Neurospora crassa OR74A: one gene and its partner. The protein of the gene in region 2 binds, or shares a complex with, the protein of the main gene of each other region. Links are inferred from orthologs where the notes say so. Each region holds a gene or a part of one and is shown on either strand. Other genes may lie near its edges.

Region 1 (3,255 bases), on a different chromosome or scaffold from region 2:
CTCATCCCGCACGTATAGCCCTTTGTTGTTTCAGTTATTGCTGCAGCCACAGCCCATTGTTTTGACCCCACATGATCATGATCAGACGAAGTTTTGTGATGACTGGTTATAGTAGAAGACAATATAACTATCAAATTTGATGTAATGTTTGAACAGCGATGTGAAGTTAATTTTGTAGAGGACAGAGGAAGTTGATGAAAACGTGTCAGTCATGCGCCGAGGCAGGTTACTTTGAGTGTCTTGGGAGTTGCCCCTGGAGGTTAGGCTGCAGACCTATGCAATGCCAAGTAGTCGGCACATCTTTCTTGTATTGGCGAAGCATGAAGTTGGTCTAAGACTGCCAGAATCGGATATACGAGTTTGGCGAGTTTGTACCGACGGCGACACTGTCGTAGGAGTCCTCCGTGATTTCATCAAATCGGTTCAGAAGAACTGGGAAGACCAACAGTTAGCTCAACACACAATGGATTTAACCAAGCGTCATTATACACAGAGACCATCAACCATGACAACCAGTGTAACGATACCCAGCTAGGATACGTGTAATACCTATCGTATATTCTATAAGCTACGTGCTTCCTCGTGATATCCACGTATGGAACTACCGTCCTCGTGATGTGCCTCCATTGCGGCCATGTATCCAAGGTTCATGTTCGGAGGGGTTCAACAAGGGATGTAAGTCACCGGCGTGGTGAAAAAGGGCATAGAGAATGAGGGTAACATTGATTTGTGAACCGGGCAATCCAACGGCAAATGATGCTGTCTCTAGACCAAAGCACACCGGGAAGCAAAGTAAAGGGGACTTCACTTTCATACGGCTGCAGGTGGCACCTAAGTCCAGACCCCAACAGCACAGTCCCATCGTCCCTTCTGTCGTAGCAAGCCCTCCCCCTCTTCAGCCAACGTGACCCTAAGGATATAAACCCAGCAGAAACAACATGATGCACAGCCCACCAACCCGCTCATTGATCCAGTAATCGTGTATGAATCCCAAAACGCCCACAACGTCTAAAGCAAAACGATAGAGAGGATATGATTACGCAGTCTCGAAGTCGCCGAAGGTGTTCTCGCCCGAGTATGTGATGTAGAGGAAACTGTGGTAGTAGTCACGTTAGTCTGGGTTACAGTTGGAAAAAAAAATGATGGGGGATGGAGGCTGCCACGTACCCATCCTCATCCTTGTGCTCCTCGTAGATGCTGCTCATGAGAGCAGCGGTTGGAGGAAGGACCTCATCTACGAAGATGAAGATGGCCTTCTCGGGCGACAGCTTGATGCGCTTGCGGATGACGTAAACGAACTGGCCCACGGTGAGGTCCGCCGGTACGAGGTACTTCTTCTTATCGATGGTAGCGATATCACTCTTCTCGACCTTTTCGCAGATAACCTGTGGCGACATGTGTTAGTTAGGGATAAGGGCGGTGACTGCGGGATCGTCCGGATGGGGGATGCTTACGGGAATACGGTCGGAGTACTTTTGGCGAATACGCTCGGCCTCAGCCTTGCGCTTCTCGAAGGGGTGCTCGTCCTTGAACTTGGATCTCATTTTGGCGGTTTGGGTTGATAATGTGGAAGATGCGGTGATAGGTGTTTGGCTTTGAGATTGACTACAAGCGTGGATACGATGGATGGATAAGACGATGTCTGCGATAGACGGAATCCGGTGTTAGTCGGAAGAAGCGGCTATTGAAAGGGAGATGGACCATGGATGGCTTCCACAAGGAGCAGAATCAGTGTTGGCCGGCTGGAAATGCAGAACATACCTTGATGACTGGCGTGTGATGAAATGAGGAAGCTGGGGAGAGATGTCAGAGGTAAGAAACGGCAAGAGGATGAAGAGGGGGAAGAAGGGTTGATGTACCTCTTTGACCATCGATGTAAGGTATGTTAGTAGGTAGGTTGCCAGGCAGTGTTGCCTATCGGCCGCGTCCAGTTGGCGCCTGCCCGCCTGTCTGCGCAGCACGGGTCAAAGGCCCTGGACGGGCACGCCAGGACAACCTGAACACTAAGCGGGTGACCAGCAGGCGGAGGCGGGGCTGACCAGATGACTAAAGCGAGAGTCGATCCTCGATTGGGCTTAGCTCGCTCCCAGTCGGTGAATCAGATGGGTCACTGGCCGTCGCTCACATGGTCAAGCTTAACAGGTCACTGCCTTTTCAGTGGCATTCCAGGGGCATTTCAAGGCGAAGGCGTGCCCGGCACTCAGCTAGGAGCGGTACCTGAACGGTACCTCTTGGCCATCAGTGGGGCGGCGTGGAGGTATGTACCTAGCAATGACGCAGCACTAGGTCCGTATCCGCCTCCTATCTCTCGTTCCATGTACACTACTGTAGTACACATTACCAAGTCCTAGGTTGATGATACCTTCCACTTGTATCAGCGGCACATGGACAAGACAAAAGGATGGCCCGAAGAAGGGCGCATTGTAAACCTCCTTTCCGTTCCAAGGGCAGCCTCGTGGCCGTGATCCTTTGGCTTCCCGGTTCGTTGAACGTGTGTAGACCGCATTTTACTAAGAAGGGCGTGGACGGTTCCATCGCCTTGGCCAGCGTCTCGAACTTGCACGGGCAGCTTGTTGACCGCTTTGTTCGCCTGCCGTCTACCTAGGTACCTCTACACTATTAAAGACCTACGGAGGACCAGGTCATGGATGTCACCACTGCGAAGTCGTCATTCTCTCCGCTTGTTCGCATTTGGTATATCTTATCCATGATAAGTAGTCTCCTATCGGCAATGAAGCTTTATCCTGGAGCTCCTCCCGGGCCTCCCTACAACTGAAGTCCGATCGGAGCTGACCATTTGCCCCGCCATCAATGGGACCTGGGCCCGTGTGTTTATTATCAGGTACCGTTTTCGGTGTCCGCCTAGGTGGCTTTTCCGGTCGCTCCCGGAGTGCGTGCAGCACCAAAAGTGGACATCTCGCTCCTCAGGGTCCGGTTCCCCGTCCATCCACTGGAGCCGTTGAAATGCAAGGAACACCCCGCGAATGTTCCGTTTGGGCTGCCCGCACAGGATACGGCACTGCGCTATCATGGATGGCAGCGTGGTTACAGAAGGAGCTGTCTATCAGCCTGTTCCGGGTATAGCGTCATTTTCCATCATTAGTAGTGTAGGTAGTTGATAGTTGATCCAACCAGTGGAAGAGAATTCGGCTCCGAGGCACCACAAGCAAGCGGATCCCTCCTCGAGATCCCCAGCAGGCAGGGCGATTACCCAGCGAAGACTAGACTACCCGCCGAGGCCAAGCTCTCGATTTC
Region 2 (4,160 bases):
ACCGCTTCACTGGGCAAGGATATTCGATGCTATTGACTTTTCTCGTGTACTGTTTGACACTCCAAAAAGCAAACAGGGCTCCTTCAGGGGCAAGCAAAGAAAGACCGGCGGTAGAGACTTATGTCTACAGGGTAGGTCAATTTTTTGTCAACACCGCAACACCAACACAAGAGTACCATATGTGTGCTTAGATGAAGATAATGTCTACGAATGCTCTACTTGCAGGTTTGCTATACCGAAATAAACAAAAAGCCCTGTGCCAACGCCAGTCCGACGCCCGCACAACTTAATTGAACCTGTAGTTGTAGTGTATGCATCCATACCACGGTCTCTTTGACACCGAAATAATTCCTGCAACACGGAAGCTCGAAAAAGCAAAGGAGAAAACTCAAAAGCAAAAACAGCGATTCAGGCAAGATAATGTCACCTTCCCCACACGTTCTGAAACTCCTCTTCACCACCAACAGTAAAGTGTGGGCTTCTCTCTTCCTCCCCTTCGGTATCCGTAGCATGACCCCAGTGGTTAGACACTTCCGTGACCGGTGTACCTTTTCCGTCATCCTCAGGATCATGTGAGGTGTCATGCCCGGGCGATGTGCCGTGCGGATGATGAGGGCTGACATCGTCGACTCTGAAATCATCTTCTGTAAGTTTAGAGGTCGTGCCCATCATGGGGCCATATGCGATCTCCAAGGGATCCATGCCCTTGTCTGGGGTAGAGTTCGTGGCCCGTTGACCATTTGGGTCTGCCTTCTTTTTGCCCTTCTTGTCGTTGGGAAGGGCTTCAGGGCCTTCTGGTGCCTCCTTCTTGCGCCTTTCGAGAGGATCCCTGGGGTTAAGCGTGGGCACTGAGCTTCTACTTGAGGATGATCGATTGTAAAAGCTCCCGGTGGGAGTGTTTTGGAAGAGACTAGGATGAGGTGATCGATAACGATCTTTCCACGGCTCGTTGGCTGTAATGACGGGATACTAGAAACAAAGTCAGACAATGTCAATTGTGCCATGTAGCGATGAAGCAGTTCCTTACATTCCAGTCACCAAACTCGAGTTTCCTAGCTCCTGCGTAGAGTTGTTCTTCCTCTGGATCAAGTATAACCTCGTCAGCATCATCGTGGTGCGGAGAGGACGAATTGCTCCTCCTGCTCGGGCCGCCGTTTGCACCCAACAGCGGAGTGTTCTGAGTGATTTCGTCGGGTCTTGGTATCCAATATTTGCCCTTGCCTCCTCGCTCATATCGCATGCCTTCCTTAAGTCTGGCCAGTCTCGACCGCGACTGCTCATGTGCCATGATCTTGTCGCCCGAGTCAAAGACACGGTAACCGTACTTGTCACCCGTAAAAGTTTCTTTGGAGTCCTGGATCAAGTCGCGAATCCCGAAGGCGTCCCTCATCGCATACTTGACCGGCATTCTTGCGGCAGACACTCTGCTGTCGGCAAAGTCGTGCCAAGAGAAGGCATACCAGTGAGCAATGGCAAAGGCTGGCATCTCGAGACAGATCAGGAAGTCCTGAATGGCTGCCGCAAGGCCGTCTTGTGTGTATCCTTCGACATTCGGGAAAGCCCCGAGAAACACCAGAATTCCAAGGGCAAAGCCTTGCCAATACGATGCAAAGATAATGGCCTTTACACACAGGAACTTGGGCATTGGTCGGAAAGGCTTTAGGTCGTTGTTCATGCATACCCAGAACAAGCCCAAACAGTACAAGCTGACTGTGACGCTGATGTTGTAGATAATGCCGCTCCAAAAATAGCCCGAGTTAAGTTTGATGTCGCCCTCATGGTAGCTCCCAGTTGCTTTCATGATAACAGCTGCTAAGGCCAAGATTGGCTTCATCCATGCATATTGCAAGATGCCCCGCTTTATGGCGAGGAAGGTATGCGGATCGGAAATATCAACTTGAGGGAGGACGTGGTTCATCGGCCAGAGATGATGGATCGGCTCGCGACCATGGGTCATGATAATAAGGGCTCGTTCTCCGCCCAAGTAGTTGATTAACAGCTGGAAGAATGTGTAGATGGTGAAAGCCTCGTATATGTCTCTGATGGGGTCGACAAAGGCTGCTGCGGTCCGTGAAACCATGCTAGTCCATGAGGCGATCGAGTATATTGGAACCCTGAAGATGGAGAATGATCAGGAATTCCGCCCACAGAGCAGTCCCACAGGGTGATAACAGGTAAACTCACATGAGGAGGATCCGTACAACATAACGTTGCAAAAGCGGCTTGCGATAGTTTTTACTGCTGAATATCAATGGCCGGACTTGGATGAGCAAGACGTTCGCGACACGGGCGATGGGTGGGCAACTCACGTTTGGAGCCATATTGACCTGTTAGAGCTTGGTCAGCATGATATTCAGACGCTGGAGTTGGAGCTGCGACACGATGCGGATCTGTAGGGTAGACATACACCATGGAGAGCAGAGTCGCGACAATAGAGGCGACACCTCCGACTATGGTTGCCACATCGGCGAGCTTTTGGCCGGTGCCTCCCATGTTTTCTGTCTCGGGATCCTGGCAACGAGGTATCTGGACGGAACTTGGGGCCCGAAAGCTGCGCGGCAACGCCTTATTGATCGCAAGTAGAGTAAAAGCCGTTCAACCTATGGCATGTTGCGCCGGCATGGTGGAGCGAAGACGCACTGGTATTGCACCTGGAACAGGTGCAGCCTAACGGTGGTAACGGGATCGCGATGTCACCGACGAAAAGATAGGTATCTGGGTGGGATGGAGGTCGTAGTTGGCCCGACGTCTCGTGGTCTGGGCAATCGGGAGGGGAGGTGACGATGACGGTCGGAGGAGCCCGCAGGCCATGCATGACGCTGGGCTGTGGGCGGGCATCTACATGTACACACCTACCTACCTCTACGCTAGGTACTACTGCCGTCGCTGCCCTGTAGCCTAGGCGGCTAGGGTATTTGACACCCCATTGCCGTTGGGAACCGCAACTTGGAATGCCAGAGTACCGACGGGGTCTGGGTTTTGAAACAACTGTGCATACCAAGTTTGCACTGTCTTACCCATCTCTAAAGACAGGACAAAGTGAGTGAGTTAGATGATCCATACAGTGTATATACTTGACGGGAATCAGACAAACCCCCCTGCCCATCAAGGTTCGTCTCGCTCTCAAGAGATAGTGTACTATTATGCAGCAAGTATGTACCTTCGTCTGCCTACCTACACAGCTCCAGTCGCTCTATCCAATTCCAAGAGCCCGCCCCTAAAATTGACTTCAGGTTGGAATTGGGAGCGACCTGCAATTCTACGTCCGCCATCCTAGCAAAGGGAAGCAGGTACCACGTACCTCTACCACCACTTGCGATTGTCAAGGGAACCTGTGACAGCTCCCACTATCTTGAAGTTGGTGAACTTCGACATGTCGTCGCTTGCTCCTGCGCTCTGTTTTCTTTAGTTGACGTGCGACGACGTCGACCTCTTCGCAACATCTTGCCTTCTTTCGATTTGCTTCAAGCGGCACCATGGAGAGTGGCATGAATATACGGCGCATACGGAAACTGTCCAATCCACGTTGAATGTTGGCCGGCGAAGTACTTCTCTACGTCTGGCGACTTGATATTCAAACACGATGGCCATCCGAAACAACTTCTTTGACGACCAAGGGGGGTTCAATGGGTGAGTGACTCCAGACCGGACAGACAGTCATGCGTTGCGCTTGTTGCTAATCCTGGCCGGACCAACTTCACAGCCTTTTCTTGGGATCTCTCATCATATGCGGCGCATTATCAATATTCTCCCTCCTTTATTTTAACAGAGTCTTTGCGTCTCTGGTGTCGTGGGCATTGCGGACATGGACCTGGCATCAGTACAAAGTCTACATCGACATCCAGGCTCTCCAGATCTCTCTACTCGGCGGTCGCGTGTTCTTTACTGGCCTTCGGTACCACGGCGCGAACGAAACAATACTGGTCCAGAATGGCTACATAACATGGAAATACTGGCTGCGCAGAGTACGGGGCGTCAAGATCTCGGCGAAGGACGCACGAGGGCATAACGAGACCGACAGCAGTTCCGACGCCGATCCCATCACTGAACAGCTGCCGACACCCAAACTTCCTTGCCGCATCAGTGTTTGCCTGTCTGGCCTAGAATGGTTCATCTACAATCGTAGTCCGGCTTATGATTCGATTCTGTCTGGCTTGACG

The links. Proteins that work in one complex are often made in the same cells at the same time.
Region 1: the proteins of NCU07701 (region 2) and atg-8 are in contact, whole or in part, in a crystal structure (PDB 6AAF), measured with the Schizosaccharomyces pombe proteins. The link is inferred for Neurospora crassa OR74A from reciprocal best matches to the Schizosaccharomyces pombe genes hfl1 and atg8. Residues at the interface, in NP_593211.1 of Schizosaccharomyces pombe: Leu386, Gln387, Phe388, Glu389, Ile390, Asp391, Glu393, Met394, Glu395, Leu397, Tyr398, Gln400, Ala401, Lys402, Met404, Arg405, Tyr406, Gly407; in NP_596531.1 of Schizosaccharomyces pombe: Phe5, Phe9, Lys13, Glu17, Arg20, Ile21, Tyr25, Arg28, Val31, Ile32, Lys46, Lys48, Tyr49, Leu50, Val51, Pro52, Asp54, Leu55, Gly58, Gln59, Tyr62, Val63, Lys66, Arg67, Thr87, Phe104.

What each region holds. Positions count from the first base shown.
Region 1 is NC_026502.1:3,123,300-3,126,554, reverse strand, and holds atg-8 (autophagy protein 8), read right to left. Parts: upstream 1,881-3,255; 5' UTR 1,762-1,880; intron 1,643-1,761; 5' UTR 1,545-1,642; coding exon 1,455-1,544; intron 1,386-1,454; coding exon 1,168-1,385; intron 1,095-1,167; coding exon 1,037-1,094; 3' UTR 501-1,036; downstream 1-500. UniProt on the Schizosaccharomyces pombe protein: Ubiquitin-like modifier involved in autophagosome formation. With atg4, mediates the delivery of the autophagosomes to the vacuole via the microtubule cytoskeleton.
Region 2 is NC_026504.1:2,173,000-2,177,159, reverse strand, and holds NCU07701 (DUF300 domain-containing protein), read right to left. Parts: upstream 2,801-4,160; 5' UTR 2,494-2,800; coding exon 2,408-2,493; intron 2,328-2,407; coding exon 2,310-2,327; intron 2,239-2,309; coding exon 2,185-2,238; intron 2,115-2,184; coding exon 1,028-2,114; intron 970-1,027; coding exon 424-969; 3' UTR 106-423; downstream 1-105. Other genes in the region: NCU07702 (hypothetical protein), read left to right, coding at 3,584-3,630, 3,704-4,160. UniProt on the Schizosaccharomyces pombe protein: Vacuole membrane protein that recruits ATG8 to facilitate the degradation of vacuolar integral membrane proteins during early-stationary vacuole turnover (EVT) when cells enter stationary phase.